3 linked regions of the Kluyveromyces lactis genome follow. The protein of the gene in region 2 interacts with the protein of the main gene of each other region in a pairwise test. Links are inferred from orthologs where the notes say so. Each region holds a gene or a part of one and is shown on either strand. Other genes may lie near its edges.

Region 1 (11,590 bases), on a different chromosome or scaffold from region 2:
TCACTGAAGGTTTCTTCTCTAAATCAGACATTTTCAACTGTTATTAATGTCAGATCGAGGGCCTTTGCTGTAACTCAACTTATTTGTCTTTTCTGTTACAGACTGCCTAAAAGTTGCTATGGTATGTGGATTGACAACTTCTGTGCTGCTGAGTTCATGTCACATCGTGTTGGGATTCATTACTTTCGTCTAAGCTCAATGAGTGAATCATATTTATATAGAAGTATGGATCCTTTGAAAGATCGGGGTGTCGGAAATATACTGGTTTGTCGATTGCACCCAACACAAGTCTATTATGTGTCAAATTACCGCTGAGAACATAGCGGCCGTATGTTGTTCTATGTTGCTCCTTAATCTCCATTACGTTTTTGACCACTGCATTTATGATTATGTCAACATGTCAGTTTCGTCTTTTCTTCTTTCAAGCAAATGGGATTTTTCGAAGAGAAAGCTTCGGAAATAAAACATTTGTCGGGAATGATGTTCTACGCCAGAAAAGATGGGCTCGAGTGTATATTTACACAGGTCTTGTGAGCCGGTTGGTTTTAGTTATTCGTACAGTAGTTTATCTGGTTTAGCAGGTTTGTTCCCGCCTGGCGGTATTCGTAAAGTTTTCTCTGATTCCCAGCAATTGACCATTGATTAGCTTTGCTGATTCATTATTAGGGGAAAAAAGTGTGTGGGTGCGATTGATCTATTCCCGAATGCCTAAAAGCAGAAACAAGCCGACGAGATCATGTCTTATGTGCCAAAGACGTAAGAAGAAGTGTGATCGGAAAGCACCCAGTTGTTCAGCGTGTTTGAAAAAAGGCTATGAATGCATCTACAATGTGAATCTGCAATCGCAGTTGGTCGATGGAACAAAGCAACTATCCAAGTCGCAACTGATAGCTAAAATTGGCATTCTCACATCACAACTTCGTGAAAAATCCGACAAAAACACCGGTAATCCGTTGACTAAACTTTGGTACACATCTTCCAAGTATGGAAGAGTGTTGACATATGGACCAACATCAGTTCGATGTTTGATAAAGTCGTCTCGTATGGGGTGGTACTACTCTGAGATTTGGAAAACTATTAAAGAAAAGCGGAACGAATGGAAGAAGAAACACGTTCATGCCATCAAAATGGAGGAAGTTTACTCCGTTGGCAATCCAATTCTTTTAAGAAGTGGTAATTCTGTGCTAGATGCCTTGTGCGGCTGCTTGCCGTCGATGGACGTTATCAAAGTATATTTAACTAGTTTCTTCAATTCTTCGTTGTTTAAAGAGTTCGAGATAGTTGATCCAAATAAAGTGTTCTCTGACGTTGATCTATGTTTAATTGCTGTCAATGGGGAGATAAAATCTATTGAATTAGGTAACAAGAAAAATTATTATAGAGTAGGCCTTATTACAAAGATTCTTTCAATGACGTACTTCCACGATAAGAATACTCCGGCAATTGACGTTTTCCACAAATATTTGGCCTCTTTCGAAAGTGCCAAGTCTGCTCATCTTGAGAGAATTCAGTTTTTCATGTTGAAGTACATCCATATCAATGCTAAGGGATTTACTGGCGGTGACGGAGGTAACAGTCTTGCCGTGGTAAGCTTAGCGTTTTCAACCGCGTTACAGATCGGGTTGTTTAGAAGAGAAACTCTGAAGCTCTTCAGGGACGATGATCGTTACATATCAAATTTATGGCAGCTTATTGTTCAAGCAGATTTAGAATGCTCATTCTCCATCGGATCTGCTTTATTGATTAGTGATGATTTTCTGTTTGATTTTGATCAAAGCCCAGGTATGACAATTGAAACCGAACAGAATTATTCACCTGCTAGTTATTTGCTATTCTTGAGAAAAATTATAGCAGAAGTGTATTCTACCAAAAATGCTCCTGATTTGAAAGTTTCTATACTTCAATTGAAGTTCTCCATTCTAACCAATTTTGGATCTCTTACGCCTTACTTGTCTCAAGGTATTAATGATGAACCTATTAATTTTCATAAGCTTTTAACGATTCTTCTCTCTTTACAGATGATCTCAAATTTGTCCATAATTGAATCTCAGATTAACCCAAGCGGGTCCAAACAATTGATACAAAATGCATCCTTGTGCCATATCGCATCACTGGTCTTGGTTCTGAATTATATTCGTGCCGTATATAACCGACAAAGAACAATCAAGGGCACAACTAACGTTGATTCCTGTTTAGATATCAGTTTAGGGTTATATCTGCACCATACTGTGTTACCGAGAGTCACACATGAGCTCGTTCTTATATTTTCTGATGCATACATGAATCGTGAAGACGATGGGTCGGCCGTTGTGTCCAGTGATGTAGATCTTCAGAAATTCATTGCTACGTTTGATACGTATTTGCAAACTGACACCGACGTGTCATTTAATGCCGTTTTAGCTTACAGGTATTTCAAATTGGTTCATGACACCTTCAAAAATGAACGTGGGTTGGAATTAGACAACTTACTCAATCAATCATACTTGTTTATTGTATCGGACGAGTTTTCCACTAGCATTATCCAGGCATTTGACTGGTCATTGCCACCCACCAATCAAGAATCACATATTCTCGATATGAATGCACTTCCTTATGGCATTAGGGATAACGATCTATTTCTTGATTCTGCGCTTGACATGTTTGATGATGAATTTTCAACGTTCTTTGCGTAGTTCAAAACTAAATGATAGAACTAACTTAACGGTTTTATCAGTTTTATGACTTTTTCTTCGTTTCTGTTACTTTATATTATGTATATTATTATGACTGTTTCATGGCTCTTCTCTAGTTAATCTGATAAAATGATGTATGTTTTACAGTTGTATTAAGAGAAGTATAAGAAGGCTCTGCCATACCTTGAGATACAAATTAACTTACGTTGCGTAATCACGCTGTTGCCCAGTTCTCATGCGGACAGTGACATGGAATTTCAGTATTGAACTTTGAATTCGAAAGATATTAGTGCATGGTGAATTACCTAATATAACTTATGTCTATAAGTTGCTTCTCTCACTGTATTTTAGTGTGTTTGTTAATCTGGCATACCATTCTTTATTTTTACCTTGTCTTCATTTTTTTTTACCTGAAATTCTGTCAGACTTTTCCACCAAAGATATGTTCGCTATCCCTCTCGAAGCTTACTATCAATCCATACAATGCATTGTATTCTCCCCGTGGTATTATAGATAAATACATATTACTTGCTTTGTCAATATTCAATCCCCTTCAATGTAGACTCATAAGAATTGTTGTAATGCTATAATTATTGGGAATTATTAAGCGACAAAGTAAATTATCTTAGAGGATTGCAGATTAATAAGTTTTATTATAATTTCACAGCAAGGAATTGTTTCAGCACTTTAGTCCATTAAGCTAGATAACTACTATATATAATTTTGGAAGAGAATAGGAATCGAACTTATGAAGAACACAGCCATTGAGTTTACAGCAAGTGATTGTGAAAGTAGCTTGGTATATTCGGTATATTAACAAGTAACAAAAAAAAAAACACACAATGAACTAGAATGTAGCTGATTAGCATGATACTGTACTTTCTGTGATACTAAATCAAATATTACTAATATCTTGAATGTATATCATTGAATTACAGCTTATTGCCGAAAGGGATTGAATCTGTATAAAAAGGCTGAAAAAACATACCTCGAAAAAAAAATAGCACGGCTGATAATATAAACCGTAAATATACTATTGAAGGGCAAGAAATATCAACAGCCTTGGCACTGATACTGCATAGAGATAAGATGGCAGATATCGAAGCTAGAACTATTATTAACGCGGCTCCAAGCGTAGTGAGAGGGGTATTTTTGGACTTTACAAAATATTCTGAATGGTCCACTTTCATTAAGGAAATATCACCAAGTGACAAACAAGAAGGCCCAGTGCCAGGGAAAGGTTTACAGGTTCTATTGGATTTCGACGGGGGATCTCCTCAAAAGATGGCTCCAGTTGTCATCACAAACTCCGACGCAGAATTTTCTTGGACGGGTGTTCTGGGTGTCAAGTCCGTGTTCAATGGAACACATAAATTCGAGTTTAAGCCATTGGAAGATGGTATGAAAACGGAACTTATTCAATCCGAAGCCTTTGGTGGTGTTTTAAAGAAACCCCTATTATGGTATGTTGGAAAGAAAACTCAGATTGGATTCGAAGCATTCAACAATGCTTTGAAAGATAGAGTTGAAAATTCCGCTTAATATCCCTTTCTGTGACGAACGAAATTAAAATCAGAACCTTTCCCAATTTGATATAAGAAGAAACATAAATGTACTTTTTATCAAAACTCCTATCCATGTGGTATTATTAAGTTAAATATTTTGTGTTTTCTCTTCTATAAATTATGCGATTATTCACATGATGAACGCAATTGCACTTCTCGTTGTTGTGCTGAGCTATATTAGGACAACATTAAATTCATTTCCCAATCTTTGTAGACAGAGAACCAGTCATCATTTTGTTCTCCGTTCAATCTTCTTCTCCATACCTCGAACATAATCTGCCGAGCTCCCCAGTAAGAACCCATCCCAGATTTACAAAGTTTGGCTGCCCATTCTTTGAATTCTAATTGTAAATTACTGTCGATGCAAGCACATCCTGCCATAAACCCTTGCCAAATTAAGGGAACTATTTTAACGCCCTTATTCTCAATCAACTCTGTCAATTGGATCAAGCTATTCAACACGTTTTGCACGTGATGTTTAACGTATTTGTAAGTTAAACCTTTAACAACGGTGAAGTAGTAAATGATCAATCCATTGTAAAAACTCATAGTATGGTGATAAACACCTTCAATAGTGTCATTAACGAAATGATCAGGCGAGCCTGGTACTTTGAAATCCCATTCTGATTTCCAGGATAAAATTCTTTGTTCAAATTCAGTACATAGTTTTTTGAATGCCTTTGGTGTTACAATATTATGCTGCCGATAATACTCCAAGTGCCGAGCAAGTCGAACACAGTCCGAAAATAATAATATGAGAGAGTTTGGTAAACCGTATAATGCGTCGGTACTTAGTATATTATTATCAGTATCGTTAGATTTCGGGTAATAATAGGATTCGCTTGCTATATTGGAGAAAATGGGAGTCGTCACACCAGAACTATCGTGTGAACCTTTTGGGAAAGCCACAGGAGAAGGCTTACCGCTGGAAGGTGAACTGAAAAATTCAATTACAATTTTACCATCCTCTCTATTGAGGGATTCTTTAAATTCTCCATTAGATAAAGATATGCCAGAAGATATATGCGAATCAATGGAAGAATTGTTGTCCAGTATTACAATTTCCTTGGTTCTGACCTTGTCCAAACTGGTACTATCTTGAATGAGTTTCAAGAAGGAAAAAATTCGATGGAGAGCCTTTGCTTTAGCCGAAATCTTCGGTCTAGTCTTCATTCTATTTTCAACGAAGTCTTCACAGATAGCCAAGTGAACTTGACAATCAGCCATGGTTCCCCAGACGACATCAATAGAATTCATAGATAAGATTGCAGTCAAAATGTCCTTATACCGCTCTTGGTTTACCGTATTAGATAAGCACCTTTTGAGAAAGCTTGATGCCTGTGTTCTAAATTCAATCCCAAGTGTTAAGAAGAACTTCATTTCCGGAGAGTTCTTGGGAAATTTACTTTGGAGATTGAAGCAAGAAACTGCGAGTAACGCATTTAGAAGTGAGTTTCTTGAATTTGAGGTGTAACCGATACCTGTTAGATCACCTAATGCTTTGAGTGCACGTGGAAAATATATAGTTTTCCAGGAATTAGTTGGTAGAACAACCACAGTCATTAGGTCAGCAACGTTCTGTAAGTAATAATTTAGCAAGAATCTCGCTAACCCATGAACATGTACACCTGTTGTGGGAATATCAAGTAAAGGGTTTGTATTTCCTGGACGATTAAAAATGGAGGGATCAGGAACTTGAGAGTGAATCACTTCGATAGCACTTCTCGGCATAGTAGATCCTGGAACGTTTAGCTCCACAAAATTCCTCAATGGTACAATGCCAATGGTTTCCTTTGCATGACCACTTTTAGTTTCGGAAGTAATAGTCGGAGGTGGCGGTTGATCAGAAGATCCTCTTCTATGGAAGAGGAGCCGATAGACTCTAGCCAATTCGTCTTCATTATCGTTTCCAGATGTGCGACCGTCATTACAATTACCATTAACACTACCATTCTTTTTCCCCATATTATCTACTGTGAGAGGAGTTTGTGGCGTATCCGGTGTATTATTCTGACGAATACCCATAAATGGTATTGTTTCCCCTTGCACTGCGGACGCCGATAGTAATGCATCGTCCCGTAGTTCATTTGAGATCCACTCGTTCCCAGGAAACAACAAAGAATTCATATCGAATTCGAATAGGGAATGAAGCTGCTGCGCAGATGTATGATCATCATTAGCAGATGATGATTCCATATCTTCTGGAGTGCATAAATTTGTGCCCTCTTTCGAATCTGAATCAGCAGTTTTAACCTTATTTTTCTTATTAGCTAGTTTCTTCTGAGCTTTTTCGATGGCATTAATGAAAACTTGATTCTTCTTACGTTTCTTCCGTGGCACGTACCTTTTTTTGACCTTATCTGTGCCTTTGAACACACCAAATTTCTTTATAATCCAAGTCTTGTCTTCAGAGATGAGCTCTAAAGGAGGAGAGCTTAACGCTGATAATTCATCGTCCATATCCTCATAATACACATATTCCTCTTTGTACCGAACGAAATCAACGTTTCTTCTCTGATACTGAGGCTCATCTGGATCTTTGATTCCTGTAGGTGTTGCGGTCACATTACCCATAGTGTCAAACTGAATTGGCCGGGTCCACCGAAGTTTTACATCGTATCCTCCACATATTAACCCACCTTTCTCACATCGCTCACATCCGGGCCGCCGAAGATCACACTTTACTTTCCTTGATCTACATGTCCAGCATCCCGTGAACGTCTTCACTCTGGGCTTCGCAGGCTTCATTCCTGCTTGTATCCTCTTTGACTCACAGTCGCTGTGAAGGAAAAATAGCCTCCAATATTTACCAAACCTTCAATATCAACCACACGCAGATGAGCGTCTAAATGATGCCACTGTTGGAACAATAATATCTACTAAAACCTTATCTTGAGCGGTACTAATCGGTTTATTATCATTGCTCTGTTTATCTGATCCTCAGAAGATGCGATGTGGATCTGTCATGTCCTTTCCTCTGTTCGTCTTTTCTCAAAATTTTCACACAAGCGGAAGGGTTAGGCGATTTGTCAATTTCTTTCTCGCTAAAAAGCTCCCTATATAGCTTAACTGTTGGATGGACTGCGCATGATATTTGGGGACAAAAAAACGCAAGCGATTTTTTGCTGCGAAAAAAAAAAAAGCAAACTCGCACTATTCTTCGCTGTGTTTAAGTTGACAGTTTGACATAAAACTCAGAACCAGAATCAAAATCACGAAACAATGATCAAGCTATACAGTTTAGCTTATAGCGCATTCGTCCATTCCATGGAGTAGAGCTGACTAGTCGGTTGGAGTTCTAGATCAACACAGGAATGTCCAGAAGAATTCGTAAAACAAGTCTTTTCAGTAAAGATGTTGGCTCTTTGATGTATGCGTTTGGTGATGTCGCGCAACCTTTACCAGAGACCATTCAATGTGTAGACGAATTGGTGGTGTCTTATTTGAGCGATATATGTGCCAATGCGTACTACTCGGCTCAAACCGTGAAGAGGAATAAGATTAAAGTGGAAGATTTCAGATTTGTACTTCGAAAGGACGAGGTGAAATTAGGTAGAGCTGAAGAGTTGATTAAGATGAATAAAGTTATTACCGATGCCAGGAAACAATTTGATAATTCAGAGGGGAAATCTTTGAAACGAGTGAAAGATGACGGTGATGATGACCACATTTCGGCTGATGAAGATGAGGAGACGACAACGGTTCCTGAACCCGTTCCTACCTCACGTCCGGTAGGCAGACCAAGGAAAAAGGGAAATGAACCTCCTAAGAAGAAGAAACGGGAAACAAGCTGAGAGTTACATTCGCATTACCCCTAGCATATCTGTACTTGAAATCCTTCTCTTGCTGGGCAAAAGAAGTGAAAAAACAAAGCAATCCTCATATAAATTCTATCATTATAGTATTACGCCTTTCTGAACAAAATGCCATATTTATGCATACTTAGCGGCAACATATACGTTTATTTTTTCTATTAGCTATATATTAACCAAATGAATAGCTTATGAGAGGGTATTATTTGAACATAATCACCTTTATCTTCATAATTGGAATTTTCAGCTGGTTCTCCTGTAGTTCTTAATATCTATAAACAAATTGTCATATAAAATGACAATTTGAGAGGTTTTTAATCTATTCTTCGTAGTTGTAGGATGGATATTCAAGCTCCTCTCCTTCTTCGAGATAGTTTGGAACACCAATAAACTTGTTCCAGAGTTTATTGAGCTTTAGTACAGTGTACTTACTAACAGTGGAAGGTAGGTCCGTATAACTTGTTACGATAAACCGCAACGCTTGCTTGAAATTCTTCCATTCTACATCCCATGCTTCTTTGAATACACCGCTGGCCTGTTCACGAACTTCGGTATGTGTTTCTTTCTTCTTCTCTGGCATTTTTAGATCATTGAATTCATTTACCTTCTTTTCTACGTTACTAACGGATTCTTTTTCTTGAGATGAATGATTGGCACTGTTAAACTTATCATTCAATACTTTGAAGAAATTATCCAATTGGAAAAAGGAGGCCAGTTTTTCACCAGGACTCTTTAATTGATAGTTGTACATTTCTTCGAATCTGTTAACTGCTTCCACTGACTTTGACAATCTGTCAAAAGTGTTGAATAAAGCAATTAATTCGTACTTGGTAAGTTTATCAACGACATGCTGTCTTGCCACATCGTCATCGTTATCCATTTCGAACAAAATCTTCAAACTAGTAGCATATCCAGTGGTTTGCACTTTACCCCACAATCTACATCTATCACATTGCACACAGTCCATAATTTTCGTGACATTCTTGAACCTGATTCTGAAATCATCCTTAAGTTGGCCACTGACCTCATCATGGAAAAGTAAATCTTCGTTGAAAACTTTGCTATTTAGCTGAGAAACGACACCATCAATCATTCCCTTAACGTCCTCGTTGTAAGCATTACAGAAACCTAGTTCATTCATATATGGTCTAATTTTCCAAAGGGCCTTCGCGACAACGGCAAAGTTGAAGTAAATGTTCGATACACGGTCAGGGAAATTTCCTACCCTGGTCATAAATAGTTCCAAATTAGGTTCCCATTTACCTGTTTCGGTGTTTAAATGTTCATTGGAAAGATGAGTACCAATTGAAGCATGCAATCCCGATATCAATCTGTAGAAGGCGTCCTTAGCTAAGCATTGGTTTTCGTCACCTAATGAGAAACAGTTTTCCTTGTAAATGCTGGACCAGATTTGCGACGATTGTTCACCGCCGTAACCCGTAAATCTCTCAGGATTAGCGGTCAAATCAACTAATACTGAATGCTGGCTATTGAAATCATTGGTATCACAGTATTCAATATCCTTTTCAGCTTCGAAACGAGGTTTGTCACATAACTCATCTAAAAATGAACATTCATCATCGGTAATATCAGTGGTAGCATTTTCAATGTTACCCAAAATTTCAGGCTGCCAATACTCTGGTAAGCTATCCCAATCTTCTACCACATCAACAGCACACGCACGATTTACGCAGTACCCATTGTTATCCGACCAGAATGGACACTCTTTATATAAATCCAATTTGAAATACTTGAAAAAATCACTTTGAACCAACGACAACAATTGTGGTCTAATATTATTGTTAACCTCGTTAATTTCATGGAAGGTCACATCACAGGTGGCTCCAATAGCTTCTGTCTTGTCCATGCGGCAGAAATTAGTCGAATCATTATCGAAAACAGTGTTGATATCCACTTTCGCCTCATCTTTTTGATCTACAGTCGAATTCAACGCTTGAACGAGCGATATTGCGCTCAAAAAGCATAGTTGCAGAACTTTTACCATGGTTTAAGGTAACAGTATTGTGATTTCTTGAAACTACTTAATGCTCACCTGTATGACAATCTATCAGTTACTATTTACTAACTGATGATTTGAAATCAAATGATTGAATCTTAGCCTTATATAAATTAACCGATTTTATTTTCTCTTTTCTTCTTTCTAGGGTACCTTTTGGCTCAAAAGAAAAAGTGGAATGGGAATCATCAAGTGACACTTTTACTACAGGCAGTATAGGTGAATAAGCACCGGAGCATTTTTGTTATGAACACATATACCACTCACGGTAGATGACTAAGGAGGAAGCTTGTGAAGTGAAAGAGTCTTTCTTTTAGTGCGGGAACCCATGGGCATTATCGCTATTTTAGCATACGTAGATTGTATTTCTTAACGATTGAACACGTCAATATGTATTTTGAAAAAACGTCACATGACAGTTTCGAAACGATTGGAAATTCCATGGGAGGTATGGTCATGCATAGGTGGCACTGGTGGCGAATAGATGGAAACTTGATGAAACTACAATCACTATCTCATTCGTCGGGGGCAGCTTCCCCTTTGTGAAGGTACTAAATGTAAGTTCTATATAAGTGCATTGCACAAAATGTAACTAATACGGACAGTGCTGGTGTTGATATTGTGAGGATACATTAACAATTCACTACCAGTATTAACACTTAAACGATTTCTCTTGAGCATGCTACTGGATCTCCAATGTATAATTCAGATGGCTGAAATTATTAATAAATCGCCCAAAGAAATGTTTAATAATCATTCTGCCATTTCTAACAATGAGTCTACGCAAACACCGACTCTGTATTTGCTAGCTATGCATACGTCTCGAATAAGATCTGGGTCTAAATCCGGAAACATCAACTGTAATGTTTGAAGTGTATTTTCTTGCTCTTTATGCTCCATCTGTTGTGCCAAAACGGTGGCTGTATGTTCGTCGATCTCTTGATGATCTCTGGGAGATCTATCCTCATACTCTGGTGAAGAGGGTGTTGGAGAAGTACTTGTGTTCCAAAAGTCGTTGAGTTTAGTTAGCACTGAATTTGCAGCATCATCAAGCGGCTTGAGTATATACTCACTTGGCGAAGGTGACACAGTACGGTGTGGGAACTTGGTAGATGAATCCTTTGGATTTAGAAGTTCTTGCTTTTTAAGATCCTTGATTTCCTCCTGATTCTGAGAATATTTCTTGTTGAAGTCTTTATCCGTTTCTAAGATGCTGATCGAATCTATATCCATATCTAGAATGAAATTGACCGCTCCTTGTAAGGTGCTTAAATAATATGCGTTTTCTCCCATCAAGAACGATGGAAATCTAAATCTTTCAATGTAACGAACGTTGCTGATAAGATGAGGGACATCGCTTTTGAGCAAAGTAAATATTAACAATGGTACAAAGTGATCCGCACCACCATTCAACTTGTTATTGTGTTTCAAAAGCCCGAATAAAACTTTACATGAGTTTAGAACACAAACCATTTTATCTCTAGGGGAGCGATACTGGTTGATTTTGGCCAGTTCTTTTGCGGA
Region 2 (9,887 bases):
TTAGAACCTTCTTCTGTTTCGTCATCTATTGGTAGACAAACGTCATCCAAAGAACTCGAATCGCTTGTTCCTCGAGAAGAAGGCTGTGAATTGTACTCGTCTTCAGACGAACCCTTCGATACAGAGCTTGGTCTTGAAGTTAAACTTGAAGGTGATCTGTTTTTCCTATTAACATGCTCCATTAACGCATCCATATCGATAACCACATCATTTCGATTATTCAACGAGCCATAGTTCCCTGCCGAGGTTGATCTATTGAGTGGCGTGGAATGAGGCCCAATATTAGAAGGTCTCCTTCTTGCTCCCGAACCCTGAGATGATATAACTTTGGAGGTCGATTGGGTTTTTCTGCTTGCAGATCCTTGATTGAACGGATCACTAAAAGAAGGTCTTGAGGGCTTCTTTTTCATAGAAGACGATGATTGATCCAAAACGGCAAGAGATGGCCTATGATCGATGTATGATCCTGAAAACTGGGACTCATAAGAACCATGAGACTTTCTTGAATTTGACGTTTGAAAGACGTTTTCTTCTGTCTCATCCTCGTCGTCATCTGTATCGTGTAACAATCCCATCGAATCGGATTTATCGACTTTCACCCGGTAAGGAGACTGTACATCTGCATTCTGAAACACGGAACGTCTCCTGGTCCGCTTAGCTTTCGTCTCCGGAGAGCCTAGTAAGGGCACCTGATCCTTTTTATCTGGCATCACGCCGTTATCAATCTACTAAAATGAGAGTGGTGTGTTTTAAGGGTCCTTGAATTTCTTGATATAAATGGAAAATCAAACGTTAACTCTCACAATTAAACCGAAAAGAGCGTGCTAGTGTAAAATCCTTCTCCTTACACTCTTGCTAGCATGCCTGATAAATCAAAATTGGAATATTGATAGATACACACTCAAACAGAAACGTTCTATGCCATTGACTTTCCTTTCCATTTAATTCATATTATCTGAAATGAAATTATCAGGTAGTTTGATCTTTCAGAAATAAACAGTTTGATTTAGGTTTGATATATTTTTCTTTTCTTTGCTATAGCTTTCCGCTTTCGATCTAGAAGAGGAGCTTCGTCCGGGTAACTGATGACAATAGCATCAACCTTCTAAACGTGTAGACTGCCAAACAAGTAAATAAGAAATTAAGCAAGTGTGCATATACTTAGTGGTATATATTTATGTAAAGATCGTAGGCTTAAGAATGGTAAAAAAAGAGGAAAGCACTTTCGGAATCTCGTCTGATTTAATCTAATCAGCTTCGGAGATATCTTCATCTGAGTGACCGTTTTGAGGGTCCTGTGACAATGCCTTGGCCAGATCGCTTTCCATAGTATTATCGCCATCTTCTTCTTCTACAGCAGGTGCTGAACGAGGCAGTTTCCCCAGATGATCATCCAGTCTTGGATTGCTGCTGGCAGAGGTGGAAGCTCTTGTCGTAGTGGCTATAGAATCGGTGTTCACTGTCTCGAACTGTGCCTCATCTTCATCTTTGATGTTTGCGTCATCAGATGCATCGTCCTGTTGTTCTTCTTTCACAGCGTTCACGTTTGTGGGTACGACAATTCCACCCATAGTATTAGCTCGATCCTCCTTTTCTCTTTGCAGCTCCTTTTCTTTCTTCAGCTTTTCCCTTTCCTTTTCCTTCTCCTTCTCCTTCTCCTTCTTGAGCTTGTCCTTCTTCTGCTTCTTCTCAAGTAACGAATCCATCTCTGGTCTATCCGTTAAGGATCTAGAAGACCCTAAATCAATCAAACAGTTCTCGATTTCACTTCTGTGCCTAATCAATTGATCGTACTGCTCCTCCGTTAGCGATATACCTTTCTTACCAGGTCTCATGTCTCCAGACGATTGGTCCAGATAGTACTCACGAATATCAATCAAATTGATATTTTTGAAACGACGAATCGTTACTCTCTTGTTCTTACCAAGTTCAAAGCCTCGATCATTGCTCATGATACTGTCAATTCTTCTTTTGAATGGCATGCTGGGCAATGTTTCTCCTAGTAAATTTTACCACTACTATCTCTTGAATACACAACTTTGTCTGCTGATTATGCTAATCACAATAGAAACTGTTTGCTGCTGTTGGAAGAACTTTTGAGTCTTGTGATTGCTCTAGCTCAAATCTTTGCCTCCAATAGTAATTTCTAAACTGCTCAACTGAGATAAAAACAAACTGGTCTCTATAGAAATACAAAATAGATATACACTCACATAAGTAACAATCCACCGAACACTCTCAAATATTAATTTTTATCTAATACCGTTCATTCGTTCCATCACTCATGAAAACTTTTGTGTGTTGTTTGTTCTGATGATAATACTTCTAACCAGTTTTCGTTTTATCCCATGTTGACATTCAAGAAAAGAAAGAAATCTGAGAAAAAGGTAAAACTGTGGTTGAGCGAACTGCAGGTTTCGAATAGAAATCGAATTTAACTGGCATGCGCCTGGTAATTGATAACATTGAAGTAGGTCAGACCTATATATAGATACAATTTATACTTTAGCATCGACCTGTCATACCCGTGAAATTAAAGATGGTCGTTAAGCAGGTTGAGAGGTTCGGTGGATTACCACAGCTGGTTTTAGGAGGAGCAACTTTAAATACTCAATACAATGATAATCCATACTCGATTCCCGTTGTTGATATGCTAAAGTTCGCCTTCGCTAATGGAATCAACGCTATTGATACATCACCATACTATGGTCCCAGTGAGATAATATATGGTGAAGCGTTGGAATCTATTCAGGAACAATGGCCAAGGAACTCGTACCAAATATGCACCAAAGTTGGTAGAATTCAACTTGATGACTTTGATTACTCGAAGGAGCATGTGAGAAGCAGTGTTTTGAGATCATGTGAAAGGTTGAAGACAAATTACTTGGATGTGTTATATCTACATGACATTGAGTTTGTCGAAGAGGATATGATCTTGGAGGCTCTCACTGAAATGAGAAAGTTGAAAGATGAAGGAATCGTCTTGAGAATTGGTATCAGTGGGTACCCTGTCGATTTCTTATATCAAATTGCTAAGAAATGTAAGGATATCAAACGCATTGGTTCATTGGACAACATTTTATCGTATTGTAACCTCAACTTACAAAATCTTATACTAGAGCAGTATTACGATAAATTCATCGAAGAATGTCAAGTGAAAACCGTTGCCAACGGATCCATCCTTTCAATGTCTCTATTGACCAGTGGTGAAACTAAGTCTTTCCATCCATGCTCACAGGAACTACGTCATAGGAGTAGTGAGGCCGCCAAGTACCTGTTGAAAGAGGGCGTTGAAATTGCTGACCTGGCAACAAAGTATGCCATCTTCCAATGGTTGAACCGCGGACCTACAGTTCTGGGATGCAGTAACGTCGTTGAAGTAGAACATGCCTTAAGAAATTATAAAGAGGTTATAGATAATGATGGGTTAACTACAGAAGAGAATCAATTAGTGACACATGTCCAAGAAAGCATTTTCAAAGAATTGATGAATTCGACATGGGAATCCGGTATTCGTGGTCGTTAATAATGGATTTTTTTGTTTCGTGCTTTATAGTTAAGTAAAAGTTCGTACATTGTTTCATATCAATCGTTTTTCTTCTCTGAGGCTGGCTGAGGATCCTTATCCTTAATAGTGGCATCGAAGTGTTCGTTTAGATTGTTTATTTGAATCTTTAACGCCTTCAAAGATACTTTCTTTGATTCCAACTCCTTTTGTAGTGCGGTTAATTGGGGAGATGCGACTTCTTTCTCCTTGGCTTTGTTCTTATCCTTCTCATCTTGCTTGTTTTCAACTGCAGGTACAGAGTTCAGTTCCCTAATTAGAGTCTCGTATTTTACCAAACGGGTTAATAAGTTCAATAAGACAGGAATACAAATAGTAAAGTATAGAATGAACCCCGAAATGTATACGTTTCTTTGATTGTAAGCCCTTGTAGTCAATGTCTTCAACGAACTAGCCACATCTTGTGGTTTCTCTGCGTGAGAGAACACTGGGAGCTGTGCACGTTTCCATGAGTCAATGAACAGTAGCATCACTAAACAACTTAATATAGCCACCACAGTTCTAAATTGAGGACCTGATAAAAAATTATCAGAGAAAACCACTAATCTTTTCCTTATCTGATAATGCAAGGGCATAACTATCATGAACATGAAAGCCATTTGGGCCACAAGAAGTATGAACAACACAGAGAAATAGATTGACATTTTAAAGTTTCTGATTACAATTTGGTACCTCCAATTATAATTCAAATATTCGATGAGACAACCAACCACTGAAAAGAATCCTAATTTTACCGTTGCTTTGACTGATTAAAGTTTGTCGAATATGTAACTGTGTTCTTAAATAGTACCTTAAAAAAAAAGTATCGAAGATCAAAAAATAGAACCAAAGCAATGTAAAAGTACCAATCATAAAAAAAAAAAAAGATTAAACCGACAGGTGCGTCAGTTTTCCATAACGAAGAACAAAGTAACGACAGAATAAATAAAAAAAAATAAAACTGGCGCTACCTGGGTAGGGTATGTTTAATAACCGTTCATTAAATTAGTACAAAATTGAAGAATATATAAAAATCTCAGTATTTAACCGCACGAGTCCGACGTTCAGCAAGCTTTTGGTCAATTTTTGCTTCAATGGTGTAGACCCTGTCTTCTTTCCTTGGCAAAGATTTGGTCAATTTTTGAATCTTTGTAGGCCCATTGCAAGGCACCAGCACCAGCACCAAGTAGTACAGTGACACCTCCTAGGGTAGCAAACCACTTTCCGGTAGACATACTGTGTGAAGAAGCGTCCGCAGAAGCTTGGGATAGTCTGACGGCGGATCTGTGGAAAGCTCTAACTAAAGTTGGGTTCATTGTAGTATATTGATTATTATTTGTCCTGTGTGAAGTGATGCGACAGTAAACAGTTTGTTGTCCTGATTGTAGCTTGGGACAGTTTTGAAGGGAAATTAGGATATACGATTAACAGGTACAAAAGAAGGGAAAGCGCTAAGGTTTCAAGAAGAATTTAACGGCATATATAATCAGTCTTTATATAGTCATTCCTTTTGGAGTTGCATCTGAAAAGTGATGATACTTTGCACGTCCCTGGGGTATCAGCGTATAATTATTATTTGCCGGTATTCCAAGTATAGATTGAATTCAAATCATACCAATTGAAATGGAAATCTCACCATATTTTCAGCTATTCTCTGATTTCCACTGTTTATCTTGTGGAAGTATATCCTCTTCCAATGGTGTGAGATAACAATCAAAATGTGGTACCGGCTGGGGACTCCAGAAAGTATGACAATCACCCGCATACGGAAAGTAATAGAAACACTTTCCTGTTTTCTGTACATATTTCCCGATAATTCCAAACCCCAATATCATCTACGGTGTCCCTATTTCTCCTAATGTTCCTTCCTATGGCTTATTATAGAACAGCGAAAATCTCTGCTGATTTTTATGCTTAGATAAGCAATAGTCGTGGTATTGGTGGCACCACCATAACCCCATGTACCATCACCCACACACCACACGCGTCGTTTTACTCTGTACTGAATTGGACGATATCCGGGTAACTTTTATGAGGCGCCTGGTGTCACGTGTAACGTACACTGTGACATTTTGGTCTCTGCTCTTCACTAATCACTCCCTTATCTCATATTATGCCTCTTTTGAGTAATTCTACACGACACACAGTCGAAAAGGAGGTCCGGCCAGTTCTCAAAACACTACGTCCGGATATTGACAATGCTATGAATGGTAAGGCAACAGAAGAATATAATAAGGATAAGTAAGTGCCTAAACACTCGCCACATATATCGTTGATCGTCGTAGATGTGTCCTATAGCGGCGGGATGCAATTAACACCTTGTCAACAAAAGGAATCCCTAGTATCCTGCTGTACCTAAGAAAAAGGTGTCATCTACATCTATATCTACGGTAACATTATACTCAGAATCTCCTTGAAGAGAAAAAAACCAACTTCTGCAGTTGACGAAACTTTGATACATAGTACATCATCACCATAGTACATTTGAGAGCCAACTAAACTTTACCTCCAGATAATCCACTGGTCATAAGAAAATGTGTCCTTGTGTTTGAGCATAATATCTCTCTCCCTCTCTTTATTTACAGTTAGCTCCATAATTTTTTTATATTTTTCGCTGCTTAAAAATACTGACTTCTACTGTTTATCTCGCTTAGTCTGTATATGTGTGCGTTTTTTTTTCTCGCAAGAATAAAGAATTATAGAATAAAGAACAAAGAATATAGAGTTGGTGTTTTTGCCTGATAGTTTACACAGGTGTTTTACTGTTTAGGGAAGTGCACAGCATTGAAAAGTTTTTGTTATTTAGTAACCTCATTAAGTTAATTAGATACTTCCACTTACCATTCCCAGGTCGCACTAGTACTTGTACTGTTGATATATTTTTTCTCTCAATTATAGAATAATCAGACTGTGGAAATAACAAAACAGGTATAAACAGTGTTTCTCATTTAGAAAGTACCGAAACAAAAAAAAAATCAGCTGCAAGTGCCCGTGATGTCGGATTCAGAAGTTAAAGACGACAGTGTCACGAAAGAAACCAAGGAAAGGAGAAAAATTGAGATCAAATTCATTCAGGATAAGACCAGGCGTCATATCACCTTTTCGAAGCGGAAACATGGTATTATGAAGAAGGCATATGAGTTATCTGTGTTAACAGGTACTCAGGTTCTTCTTTTGGTTGTTTCTGAAACCGGTCTAGTTTATACGTTCACTACACCAAAGTTCCAACCCATTGTTACACAACCTGAGGGCAAGAATTTAATTCAAGCGTGTTTGAATGCACCAGAGGAAGACGATGAGGATGATGACGATGAGGAGGAAGATGAAGATGAAGATGATGAACATAACGTGCAACACGATCATGGCGGCGATGTTGGTGGTCAGCCACACTCCACAGTACCTACCTCGGTCCAATTGCCAGGTGGTGGACATTCCCACGGCCTTCTGCCCCAGCAACAACAACAGCAGCAGCAGCAGCAGCAACAACAGCAACAACAGCAACAGCAACAACGTTTGGCGCTCCAACAGCAGGGCCAAAATTCACAACAGCAACAACAACCCCAATCCGTACAGCACCAGCAACCTCAGGTTCAAGGCACGGGCCAAACTCCGAATTTCACTAATGCTTCTTATTTAAACCCAGACCATGCTGCCGCCTACGAACAATACTTCAACGGCGTTAACTCTCAACATGGCCAGTTTTGAACTTAAGGGATTTCTTAACTGGAATTCTGTGAAACACTGACCACTTCAAAGAAATGGCACAGAAAGACATGAAAAGAGCTGAAAACCATATGAATCTAATTAACTACTTTGAAGCAAACTTTTGTTCTGTTATATTTTCGTTGTTGTTATCAGTTAATTTATGCCTGTCTACGTGTTGTGAGCTAACTGTTTTTTTACATCCTTTTTTTCTACTACTTTCCTTCCTGGATCTTATTATTCTCAAATTGACTGGTTCAGTGGCACTAGAAACAACTGTTCAAGATATCTGTATCCACCTTCTCTTTCCTTGATGACTTGTCATCGAAAATGTTCGAATTGTAGATCGGCCGTCGATCTCCCGATTCTCTGGTTGAATTGAAAGATCAAAGAAGCGTGCAGGGCGGAGACGAAACTAAACTAAACTCAAATGAAATAGAAATAGGATACAATACAAATTGACTTTAAGTTTAATTCAATTACTACCGATACGACATGTCAGAGATCTGTGACTCTTACACATTTCCTGGCTATCAGAGGCTGTACAAATTTTAATTATCCAAGCGCAACTGATGAAAAACTCTCATACCACTTGACTTTTTAACCCTTTTCCTTTTCCTTTTATTAATTTTTTTTTACATTCTATGGACTCTCAGAAATGATATAAGACTTTGAAGGACAAGCTTTCCTTTTACTATATCATTATCTCTATGCCTAATTCTTCTCTCTTCCTATTTTCTTAATAAATAACCCGTTTCCTCTGGACCCTTTTCTCCTATCGTTTGTAGGTTTTCTCCGAGAAGAATTATCGTTTGTGACAGTTCTATATATATATATGTATTTGTACATTTTCTTTTCTTCGCTGGTGTATACTAAAACTTATTTCAGTTATAAATTAAGGTTTACTATTCTTATGGTTAGCGTAGCAAATAATCAGTCTTGGATGGTAAGGTTCATTATTGCTTGGCTATTTGCATGTGATATAATGTTTTTGCCTTAGAAGCTTTATTTTCAATGATTTTTAAACACGAAATCGTAAATTTCAGGTTACTTAACTGCTACTGTGAAATGCGATTTCTTTAAGGATTGTGGAATATCTAGGTATTCAACCCTTGGTGTTTCAAGTATCTGCTAGGTATACTTCAATAGCGAAAACTGTGCATTTCATAATGGTGTCAAAAATGTTGCAACCTACGGATATTGTAATTGCAAAAGTAAAAGGTTATCCACCATGGCCAGCGATGGTTATACCGTTTGAGATAATACCTCAGCAAATTCTTACGAAAAATAGATCCAAGCTTCCAGATGAATCAGACCAAGATTCAGATAGTGCTGAGAATATTGAATATTCACCTGTGCTTACTTTTAAGAAATTTACTCGTGAGTTAACCAATTATTGCGTGAAGTTTTTTCATGATGATTCCTACATTTGGTTAAACCCACGTAATTTGCATGAGTTGACACTACCACAGATCGAGGCTTTCTTATCTAAAGTTAACAGTAAGACTTCGAAAAATTTGGTCCATGCCTATGAAATGGCTAAACAAGGTTTGACTACCGGTATTGACGTGTGGGAGTTTGTGGAGTATGGATCCAGTGGGAAACCAGATGATGATGACTACACAGAAGGCGAAAATGACGAAGACGAAGATGATTACGTGGAAAATGTTGACTCTGAGGGAAGTTCGAAGAGGAGACCAACTCGAAGCAGTTCTAGGACGAAGGCAAAGAAGCCGAAACCAGCCCCAAGAAGGTCAACAAGATCTAATACGAAAACAACAGATGATGATAAAAATAAGGATAAACATAGAGACACAGATATTATTGATGAGAGTGACATCTCGGAAGACCTGGATGAAGAAAGCCCCTCAGTACCAAAGTCAAGGTCAAAGGTCACAACCAAAGGTAAGGCCAAAGCTGCAACGAAAAAAAGTACTAAAGCTGTCCTACCAAAAGCAAAAACTAAGCCAGTTATATATCATTACGAAGATGATGTCGATTGGAAGATTGTGGGGTTAGGGCCCCAGGACTTAGAATTAGATTCCCACCCACCTTTTGCGACAAAGCTAATTACCAAAAAAAATCTTGAGATCCATAATGATTTGAAATTAGAGTTGAAAGACAGATTGTCTGCTGCTAACAAAATGCTTATAGAATATATTTTGGATAAAAACGATGATCCAGACTTAATTCATTTAATTTCGGATGAACTAGCCATGTGTCTCTCTTTGAAAGGAAAGCATAACGAATTATGGACAATGTTTTTATCAAATCCAGAGTTCCTATTAAACTATCGGGTTCTTCTCAATTTGAAAAAGCAAGCTCTTCAAGAATCAAATGTTTTGGGTAAGTTTTTGGAAGCATACGAAGAAATTTTTGATCATCCATTCCAATTTGATACTTCATCATGGTCTTCAGATGCACAGATAATCAAACCAGAGCCTGATAAAAATGAGCCCAATCCAGAGTCACCCCAAGTCACTGCAGCTGGGTAGTGGTCTTCATTTTAAAGAGTTTTAACAACGTAGCTTGTATATCAGCCACGCTTTCCGACTTGATTAATTAAGCTTTTAGCATATTTGACTGTTTATATTTCGGGTGGCCTTGGTTGTGCTCTTCTCCATAATATAGTGGTTATGCA
Region 3 (10,251 bases), on a different chromosome or scaffold from region 2:
TAAGAGCTAATTTTGTGAGGTAGTTTATGATCAACTCAACAACATTTGGCATATGACTATCACAGTCATAATTAAGATAGAATTCAATGAGCGTCCGTGGATCATTACAAACACGTTGGATAATACTCAAAAAGTATCTTTTCTGGTGATTGGTCGAAGACTTTAAATCCGCAATAGGGAAATAAATATCTGTGAGGAACACGGGAATCTCTCTCTTAAACTCAGATCTCAAGTTCGATATTATCAACCACATAATTTCTAAAGTTATCTCATACACGGGCGCAATTGGAGAGGCTGCATTTCTCGCAAGTGATAAACACAAATACTGATTGACTGCATGAACTAAGCTGACTTGCTCTTTTCCTGGAACCCTAACGTTTTGAGACAAGAAAACGTCGATATGGTCTTTTAATATTGAATGTAGAGTATGAAGAGATAAAAGTTTCGATCTTACTACATGAGATCTCATATCTAGTGAGTCTTCCAAAGGTTTTGCAGATATTTTTGCCATGGCTCTAAACAAAAGGAAAGCGTCTTTGATGGTAAGAGCTTGTTCATCAGTGATGGAGTCATCGGGTTTCTGGAAATTTTCTTCTTCGTCTACCAGTCTTTCAGTCTCGTCATTTAGTGTATCCAAATTTTGCAAAGTTAACGGATGTTCAGATGATGGAGTGGATGTTCCTCCATTGGTGGAAGCAGCATTCTTTAAGCTAATTGTTGAAAGTGATCTCTGTTGATTCAAACTTTTCACATCGATCCTATCGAAAACGGTCGTGACAATTTGGGTCAAAGTGGCTTGCGCTATGCCTTGATTGGATGAATGTAGCGAAAAGATGAAAATGTTGTAAATTTGTCTGATGGCCTTCAATAAGGAAGCGCCATGGACACAAGAAGTAGCTTCATCGATTAAGATACAACTGGCTAAACCACGTACAACTTGCAGTTCCACTCTTGAGTCTGTATTTTCCCCTTCAAAACAATCACAAATTGTGTCAATTACCGCATCAATAAGCTTTTGTTTTGGAGGTGGAGTAATTCCAATATTTTCAGGGTTCTGATCGTTTGAAGCCATTGAGTCTGGAGGATTCACTAGCAGCGATTCGTCCAAGGCTTGAAAGGAGAACAGTTTAGCGAAACAATCTAAAGCCTTTATTTGAATATCAATGATCTTAGATCTGCAACATGATCTTAACGCTTCAAAAACGAGCAACGAGTCAATTTCTACCGAAGTTCCGGTTGGCGCTGCTGAGGTTTGTTCTAGGGACTTCAAAGTCCTTTCTATATCTTTCTGACAACTCGTAAGTTTCTTAAGTTCTTTGGATTTCATTATGGATTCCAACGTTGATTTTACAAACAAAACAACCGATTTAATGTTCGCGTTATTCATAGATACAATTGACGCATTTCTAGCATGGGCCGCTCCCTCGGTGTTACTATTTACAGTTTTATTTGCTGATGGAGATGGCGTCACATCAACATCAGGCACATCAGGGGTGTTGTTCTCCACGTTCGCATCAGCGTCGGTTACCGAATTCACATTGATATCAACAGTCGTGGTCGAATCTAGGGCTTGTATATCACGTTCCTCAGCAATTGCTGGGTTCGTGCGGTCCACAGGTTCTTCTGACATGTTTGGCAATATTTCTTCGACAGCACTGCACCTTAGTGTGTATATAATCACCTCCGTAATCGTTCCACCAAATACGATATTATGTATACTTCTTTCTGAATCTCATTTAATTTCAGATATTTTTTTTCTTTCCTTTTAAGGTGGATGGCTGGCTCCGTTTTTCCCCTATAATAGGAGAATTGGCTTGAAGATCTGCTCTCTGAAGTCTTTCTGAAGTATAAGTGATTAAGTAAAGCAGCTGAATGATGTTACCAGAATGTTCAGCCAAGAGGCAGTGATATAAACCGTAGATACTTGCTACAGGAAATGGATCTGGAAACTTAAGTTTAGTTCTACATTGTATAATTTTATAAGCCTCTTCTGCTGTGTCGAGCACGTGATTTGTTGATCACGTGATTAGAATCATCTATGATGAGAATTATCTATTGGAGTAACCTCTTTTATAGCACTTCATAGCCCACAAAGGGACGCCAAATTTGGTATATTCTGGAGCATTTGTAATAATTTCCAAACTTACAATCTGAATTTACTTTTCATATCTCTACTTTGAGTTTGGGACCTCAAATCTCCGTTGGCGACCTTAGTGATTGAGAATAACAACCTAAAAACAAGTAAACAGATTGCATGTATGTCAATTAGTGCGGTTAACTAACACCTTCATGTGTAAAGCATCTATCTACCCATATGTATGTATACATATCTCCATAGGAGATATTTAGTCGTTGTTTTCCCTGTTTAATACTGGCGGTGCTGACATAATATGCTGTACCATTTTCCTCCGAAGGAAATCCGTCGGAGGAAAATTGACATGCGTCAGTTAGTGAAACAAAAACGTAGATAGCGTGTGATTAGGATAACAAAAAGAGGTACGGGAGATAGAAAACGGAAAGCTCGAGCGATTTGTATAGTTTCGAGTGCATGGGAGCCTAGTTATCTTTGTGTAAATTATTACAGGATATATTATCCTTCAAAATCTATAAAAGAAGAGCGTTTGTCGAAGAAGAAGAACTTAGTTTGGATAAGGTTCAATTAAGTAATGCATATAGTAAACACATCTATAAGTATCAAGATTAAATCAAAAAGTATCAATCATTAAGGATATTGTGAAATTATCAACTAAAGATGAGTCCAATCGCCGTTACCCGTAAGGAAGTAGAACAACACATCAAAGCGACACCAGTTAATGATGTCCTTTTAACCACCTACCCAGAAGATTCCTCTCCTATCCCATTGAACTGGGGTGCTGCTGATTGTCAAGAAAGGGGTCCTGTGGTTCCATCAAGAAATAAAAGTGGTATCTCTAAACACAATTGCATCGGTGCTCATGCTGGTCCATACTGCATCTATAATGCTTTGGCCATTGGTTCAAACCAGTTAAAACGCGACCATATTCCAGACTATACCAACGCGCAACCTGTGTTTACAATCCCAGAACAGCCATCATGGTTTAACAACCGTGATATTGTATCGATGGATCCTTTTGGTCACTTAACACCTTATTTGTTTGATGATGTTGCTAAGTCTGCAAACGTGGATATCAGACCAACTATTGCCATCACCAAGGCAACCATGCAATTGCTTGAGTTGAAAGAGGCCGTTGATAAAGGCGAATTGAAAATCGACGGTAATATCATTGTCAACTCTAACGGTGACCTAAGTGTTTCGAAGATTGCCGTTGAACCTGTTTGGTATTTACCAGGGGTCGCTGAAAGATTTGGAATCACTGAAGAAGAGTTAAGAAAATGTTTATTTGAGGATACAAATGGTATGTACCCAGAATTGATCACTAGACCCGATATCAAAACTTACATGCCTCCAATTGGTGGATTGACAGTGTATATTTTCGGTAATCCGCAAAACATTTCCAATCCAGAAAAGAAAATCGCTTTGAGAGTTCACGATGAATGTAACGGTTCCGACGTCTTCGGTTCTGATATTTGTACTTGCCGTCCATACTTGATGTTTGGTATTATTGAAGCAGTAAAGGAGGCCCAGAATGGAGGAACTGGTCTTGTTATTTACTTCCGTAAAGAAGGGCGTGCACTTGGTGAAGTTACCAAATATTTAGTATACAATGCTCGTAAGAGAGGCGGTGATACCGCTGACGAGTATTTCCACAGAACAGAATGTATCGCTGGTGTGAGGGATATGAGATTTCAACAATTAATGCCAGACGTCCTTAAATGGTTAGGTATTTCCAAGATCGATAAGATGTTGTCCATGTCAAACATGAAATATGATGCAATCGTTGATCAGGGAATTGAAATCGTCGAAAGAATTCCGATTCCAGATGAAATGATTCCTCCAGATTCCAGAGTTGAAATCGATGCTAAAATCAACTCAGGTTATTTCTCATCAGAAAAAGCACCAACTAAAGAGGAATTACAATCAGTCCATGGGAGATTATGGAACGATGTGTGAAATTTTCGTTAGCTCATGTTCTCCGGATGTTACTTAACTTAAAAAAAATACCGAAACGGAACTAGACTTTGACCTCCCAATGATAAATAAGTGGATGAATACCACATGCAATATTTTGTTACTATTTTGAAGCCAGTTAATATATGTATAGATTTTGTATGTTTTCTATTGGCAAGCATATCATTCTGGAATGATATGAATGCCGCAATTCTATGAATACCTTTTTTGATAACATCTACTGACAGAAGAATGTATTTATAAAAATAAAAAAGACAACTGAGCACCGTTCGAGCAAGCCAGATGATGCTACATCAACTGCGTAAAGAAAGAATTGAGCTCATGAGGACGAGGAATCACCTATAGATGGCGTTTTGAATATACAGCATGAACATCAAAGACTTTAAGAAACTAAAACGTCAAGCTGCTGGCCATGAAGGACCATTAACGGATCCCAATGAGATGCTTCTGTTCAAACCTTCCACGAAACAAGAAATAAAGTTTTATGAACACTTGGCCACCAGACATGCAATAGACAACACGGATGACATTCCATTACAGGACTGGACACCTACATTCTTAGGTATATTGCAAGAGAATAAAGAACAGAACAAAGACTTTGACCAAGAAAGAGTAATAGAGAGACTGAACGCGTGTTCCCCCACAAGTCTAACTAGTAAGTCACAAACCGATGGAAATGTTTACTTAGTTATGGAAAATCTATTGCACGGATATGTACGACCAAACGTATTGGATATCAAGTTAGGACATGTTCTGTGGGATGATGCAGCAAGTGAAGAGAAAAGAATAAGATTAGATGAAGTAAGTAAGACATCAACTTCTGGGACTTTAGGGTTTAGAATATGTGGTATGAATATCTTAAAAAACACAAATGTCCAAGAACTACACTCGAAGTATTATGAACCGGAAGATGATGGGTATATTTTTGTCAATAAATATTACGGTCGTGAGTTGACAGCTTCGAATGTAACGGACGCATTTGATTTGTACTTTGGCGATAATAATCTTTCACTCCAAAATCGTAATGATTTGATTCACATGTTTTCAAAAAGGCTTCAGCTTTTCTATAATACGCTATTGAATGAAGAGGTTCGCATGATATCAAGTAGCCTTCTATTCATATATGAATGCGATACTACTCGGTGGATCAACTTCTCTCAGGAACAAGAATTAATACCGTCCCATGTATCATATGATTCGGATGAGGAAGGGTCCATTAAAGATGGACAGTCAAAGGAGAGCATATCAGGAAAGACAGAATTGAGTCGCATGTCGATAATAGATTTTGCACATACCAAATTTACCCCAGGATTAGGAATAGATGACAATGTACTTGACGGGGTTGAAAGTCTTATAGACATTTTTGAAAGATTAAAAACTAAATATACAATCTAGACTAGACACCTAGTAAATATGCATTGTGATATGGATTCATAAAAACCGAGATCAATTTTCAAGGATTTTCACAATCTTACCGATAGCAATGGTGGTACCTTGATCTCTTAAAGTGAATCTACCCAATTGTGGGTAATCATCGTATGTTTCAACACATACCGGTTCATTAGTCTCGATAACGGCAATGATCTTCATACCCTTTTTAGCAAATGCTGGAGGCTTCTTTGATTTTCTGTTTGACCCCTTCTCAAGCTTGTGAAGCAATCTTGTGACGGTGACTTCTTCGATAGCTGTATGAATATGCATAACGCACGAGAAACCAGCAGACATGATCGATTTCAATTCGACAATAGCAATTTGAGCCACAAATCTCGTTACATTCTTAACTGGGTTTTTTGGAGAGGTTAGAACGAAACCAGCAGAAATTTCTTCTTCTTCGACACCTTTAATTCTTAATCTAACCTGCTCACCACAAACAGCCATGTCAACTTCGCTTTCAGTTTCGTTATAAATGGTCAGAATTTCAACAGAGGTCCTGTTAGGCATTAGTAAAGTTTGGTTACCCTTTCTAATGTGTCCAGATTCGATTTTACCTTCCACAACAGTACCCATGTCCTTCATCTTAGAAGCAATTGGAAGCATGAATGGAGCATTGATATGACGATCAGTAGTCTTCATATTGTCAAGATATTCTAATAAAGATGGACCAGTATACCATGGACAGTCCTTAGGATCGACACGTTCCTTCAAACCTGCACCTGTGTAACCAGACACTGGCATGAAAATGACGTCCTCCTTAACATTGTAACCCACAGCCTTCAAAAAGTTTGTCAAGTTACCAACACAGTGATCATATCTTTCCTTATCCCATCCCACAGTTGGATCATCCATCTTGTTGATAACTACAATCATTTTGTTGACACCTTGTGTCTTGGCTAATAAAGCGTGCTCACGAGTTTGACCACCCTTTTCGAAACCAGTTTCATATTCACCCTTTCTAGCAGAAATAACCAAAATACCAATATCGGCTTGAGATGCACCACCAATCATTTCAGAAACATACATTTTGTGACCGGGAGCATCCAAAATAGTGTAACGTCTCTTTTCAGTTTCAAAGTACGCTCTACCCACTTCAATGGTTTTACCGTCGTTTCTTTCTTCTTTGTTGGTATCCATCACCCATGATAAATACCAACCTTGTCTACCAGCCTCTTTAGCCTCTCTCTCATATTTCTCAACGGTTCTTTTATCCACAGAACCAGTCAGATATAACAAGTTACCACCCATTGTTGACTTACCAGCATCGACGTGACCCATGAAAATGATGGAAACATGATCCTTACCACCAAACATATCTTTAACGACTTCTTCGTCAACCTCATCTTCTTGTTCCTTGATTAGAGCATCCACGGAGTTCGCTCCTCCTGTAGATGTGTCTGCCTTAGCGCTGGTAGTCTTCTCTGAGGAAGTATCATCAGCAGATGGGGTATTCTCCTTAGTTTTTGGTTTTTCAGCCTCTGAGATTTTCAAATCATCAATTTTGGGCAATTCAGATTGTGCTTCTTCGTTGTCGTCGGTAGTTTTAGTTGCTTCCTTGGATTCATCAGTTTTCTCAGTTTTGGGTGCTACAGGTTTCTTGGCACCTACTAACTTAATACCAGAGCTAGAGGCCAACTTTAACTTAGGCTTTGGCTTGGCTGCATTAGTACTGCCTTGTTGGTTTTGGAAATCTTTCAAAGTCATACCCTGGGATGAAGACTGTGCTGGAGCAGCGTAACCGGTTGGCTGTTGTGCATTATATCCTTGAGCACCTTGATAACCCTGCTTATTATAGTTATTGTAACTGTTTTTATTATTATAATTTTTATTGTAGTTATTGTTGTGACCGCCTTGCTGAGCGTTGTAACCTTGTTGCTGAGCATTGTAGCCCTGGTAAGGTTGGTAGCCTTGAGCTTGTTGAGGGTTGTAGCCCTGGTAGGCTCCTTGAGGCTGCTGTCCATAAGCTTGATATGCTTGGTAGCCTTGAGGAGCACCTTGTTGGCCGTTGTAGCCTTGATAGCCCTGTTGGTTGTAGTACTGGTTGTACTGGCCATATTGGTTATACTGATTGTAACCTTGGCCTTGCCCTTGGTCTTGATTTTGTTGGTCTGACATGTCTACTAGTAGATGCTATAGACCGGTACCTTGTTCCAATTTAAGCTTGCAAATAGAGGGCAATTCGCTGATGGGAGGATCATGATGATCATCAGTAACGCTTTCTTACACTTTTCGATCTTCTCTATCAAGCTGTTTAAAATTTTTTGCAATTAGCGATGATGTAATTTTATACGACTGCATATATTCCTAAATAGACTAACACCATTGTAGCGCCCAATACGTAATATGGCATCAATAACCTGGTGCAACCGTTCCGTTCTTCCTCTATGTAACTGTATAAAATGAGGGTGCTGGTATTCGTGTAATATTAATATTATACATAAGCGATTACTAAACATGAGATCTTATTTTAATTCATAACAATTGTTCATATAAATGTTTGGCTGAACCAGTTTTCCAATGTGAAGCCAGGGATGATTTCATAAATTGCGAGGAGCAGTCTCAAACACAAGTTCTTCATCTGGTACATCTTCTATTATAATTCTTTTCTTTGGTTGTGGTTTATTAGCATCTTGTGGAATTTTTGGGACTTTGATTTGAAGCAATCCGTTAAAGTACGATGCTTTAATCTCTTCATCTTTAATTCTCGGTAAAACGGGGAACTTGACAGATCTTTCAAAATCACCGTATTTCAATTCTGAGATCTTCACGTACTTTTTATCAATCCCGATCTTGTTGTCGACAGCACCTTTGATCAGTAACTCGTGCGATGAAGGATGGAAATCAATTTTAAACTCCTTCGAGTTCGCACCAGGTAATGCCAATACAACAACGTACTGTTCGGGAGTATCATAAACGTTAACTTCTGGAGAAAATGGTAGATCAAGTCTCAATTCTGGGTTTGAAACTTGCAAAGGTGCAGGAACCGGAGATCTGAAACCGCTGGGCTCGTAAGCTAGTTTATCCTTTTGGTTTACGTCCTTTTCGCTGTCAACGGAGGAAGTAGTCTTATTCAACTTTTGTTGTTCCTCATTATTGTGCATGTTATAATCTTCGTTGTACTCGTCAGAAGCGTCTTCTCCTTGCTCTGCTGTTTCCTCGTCTATTTGCTGATCATTACGTTCTTTTTCTTCCTCGGAATATTGATTTGCAAGAGCTTCTTCGGCTGCCGCAAGAGCAGCGGCTTGCTCCTGTTCATCGTTTTCTTGTTCATCATCAGTTGCTTGTCTCTGACTTTCTTCATCAGCATCCCCTCTGAAAATGTCGGAATTACCACCGGCCAAAGCACTCAAAAGAGCCCCAACTACATCATCACCAGATGTTGGTCCAACAGCCCTTCTAGAAGCTGTTGTTGGAGCACCGGTCCTGCGAACAGTACGGTGTGGATGGTAATGCGTGGGTCTTCTCTGAGGTTGAGCATCTTCATTTGTGTAATAAACTGGCTGGTAGTAGGATGCGTTTGGAACTGAATAGTAATAGCTGCCAGGAACGTAGCCCTGTCTTCTAGCGGCAAAAGGGTCGTATCTGTCATACCCTTGATTAGCAGCTCTTCTTTGAGGTTGTCTTCCACCGTAGATATTATCTTCATAATCACCTCTGGCGCCAGCCTTGTTAGTTAATGCATCTAGAACGTCGTAAAGGGACAAAGATGGTTGATAAAAACTCATAATGGAAAGGGTTGATATGGTAATATGTATAATTGCACTCAAAGGCTATATCCGTCCTTCCTTTGAATAAACCGCTAGAAAGCTGTTTTTGCTGTTACTAGGATCAATTTGAACCTATAGGTAGCAATATACCAGACAATCACAAATTACATCAAATTGGCAATGGCAAATCTAGGGATTGCCACCGAAGAATTAAACCTTTTATACCTTTTTTCTCCCTTAATAATGCGTGAATTTAGCCTTTTTTTTCCTTCAGTACCAGTAGAAGATCGAAAAGTCTAGTAATATGTGGAACGTTAGGGAAGTTCATAGAAATAAAGTTGGAGGAGACAAAAAACAAGGCTGACATATAGCCGTAAGAGTGGCGACCAGCAACGAATGGCTTTGAGGCTTGAAGGATTCCTACGATAACCAATATAGCGCATCTTTTGGTCTCAGTACTATTGTCAAAAGGATGCTTCTTATTTATGTATAGGTTCATGTTTTTTCTCGGAGTTTGTAACGTCAATTTCCAACCTATCTTTTCGTCCATCAGCACATACAAATTTCATTGAGCATAAATTTATGTAGGAAATGAGATATAATGCAGGATATGTTCCTTAATATTCCCAATTTCCGATGCACGTACACATTTTAGTTGGAGTTTCTGGAATAATTCGTGAGGTACCGAAGCAAAACAATGAGAAGCTTTTGTTCATGGACAAATGAATAAAGTTTTGTCCTTAACAGTCACGCAAGAGAGTTATGTCGCCGTAACGTAGGTTTTTTGGAGCTTAACGTATGGTTTTCAAAACTAAGTATTTCGCGTTCACATTCTAATTTGCTATGTGATCGGCGGGAAGACTTTCGCAGTTCAATATGGGTCTTTCAGTTCATCGTACATTTTGTCGTAAGATAGACTGAAGACAAGCCAGACGAGAGGTCATGTGAGCTAGCCAGCACACGACAGAGTTCCAAGACGTCAGTGACTGTGCATATGGATCCTGTGGTATCCAGAGGGGATGGCCTAGATGGATCATAGAC

The links.
Region 1: the proteins of KLLA0_F26807g (region 2) and ARG81 interact in a two-hybrid assay, tested with the Saccharomyces cerevisiae proteins (2 studies listed by BioGRID). The link is inferred for Kluyveromyces lactis from reciprocal best matches to the Saccharomyces cerevisiae genes MCM1 and ARG81.
Region 3: the proteins of KLLA0_F26807g (region 2) and ARG82 interact in a two-hybrid assay, tested with the Saccharomyces cerevisiae proteins (3 studies listed by BioGRID). The link is inferred for Kluyveromyces lactis from reciprocal best matches to the Saccharomyces cerevisiae genes MCM1 and ARG82.

What each region holds. Positions count from the first base shown.
Region 1 is NC_006040.1:857,312-868,901, forward strand, and holds ARG81 (Arg81p), read right to left. Parts: upstream 6,986-11,590; coding exon 4,415-6,985; downstream 1-4,414. Other genes in the region: KLLA0_D10131g (uncharacterized protein), read right to left, coding at 1-31; KLLA0_D10153g (Zn(II)2Cys6 transcription factor), read left to right, coding at 705-2,672; KLLA0_D10175g (SRPBCC domain-containing protein), read left to right, coding at 3,762-4,214; TAF13 (Taf13p), read left to right, coding at 7,552-8,031; ERO1 (ER oxidoreductin), read right to left, coding at 8,369-10,054; guanine nucleotide exchange factor VPS9, read right to left, coding at 10,820-11,590. UniProt on the Saccharomyces cerevisiae protein: With ARG80, ARG82 and MCM1, coordinates the expression of arginine anabolic and catabolic genes in response to arginine.
Region 2 is NC_006042.1:2,472,104-2,481,990, reverse strand, and holds KLLA0_F26807g (uncharacterized protein), read left to right. Parts: upstream 1-6,538; coding exon 6,539-7,249; downstream 7,250-9,887. Other genes in the region: putative Mg(2+) transporter MNR2, read right to left, coding at 1-710; chromatin-binding transcription coactivator SUB1, read right to left, coding at 1,248-1,982; D-arabinose 1-dehydrogenase (NAD(P)(+)) ARA2, read left to right, coding at 2,540-3,526; YET2 (Yet2p), read right to left, coding at 3,586-4,209; KLLA0_F26818g (uncharacterized protein), read right to left, coding at 4,636-4,860; IOC4 (Ioc4p), read left to right, coding at 8,416-9,741. UniProt on the Saccharomyces cerevisiae protein: Transcription factor required for the efficient replication of minichromosomes and the transcriptional regulation of early cell cycle genes. Activates transcription of ECB-dependent genes during the G1/M phase.
Region 3 is NC_006040.1:1,481,440-1,491,690, forward strand, and holds ARG82 (inositol polyphosphate multikinase), read left to right. Parts: upstream 1-4,435; coding exon 4,436-5,464; downstream 5,465-10,251. Other genes in the region: Arf family guanine nucleotide exchange factor SEC7, read right to left, coding at 1-1,630; KLLA0_D17380g (uncharacterized protein), read left to right, coding at 2,753-4,051; SUP35 (translation termination factor GTPase eRF3), read right to left, coding at 5,516-7,618; heat shock protein HSP42, read right to left, coding at 8,041-9,228. UniProt on the Saccharomyces cerevisiae protein: Inositol phosphate kinase with both monophosphoinositol and diphosphoinositol polyphosphate synthase activities.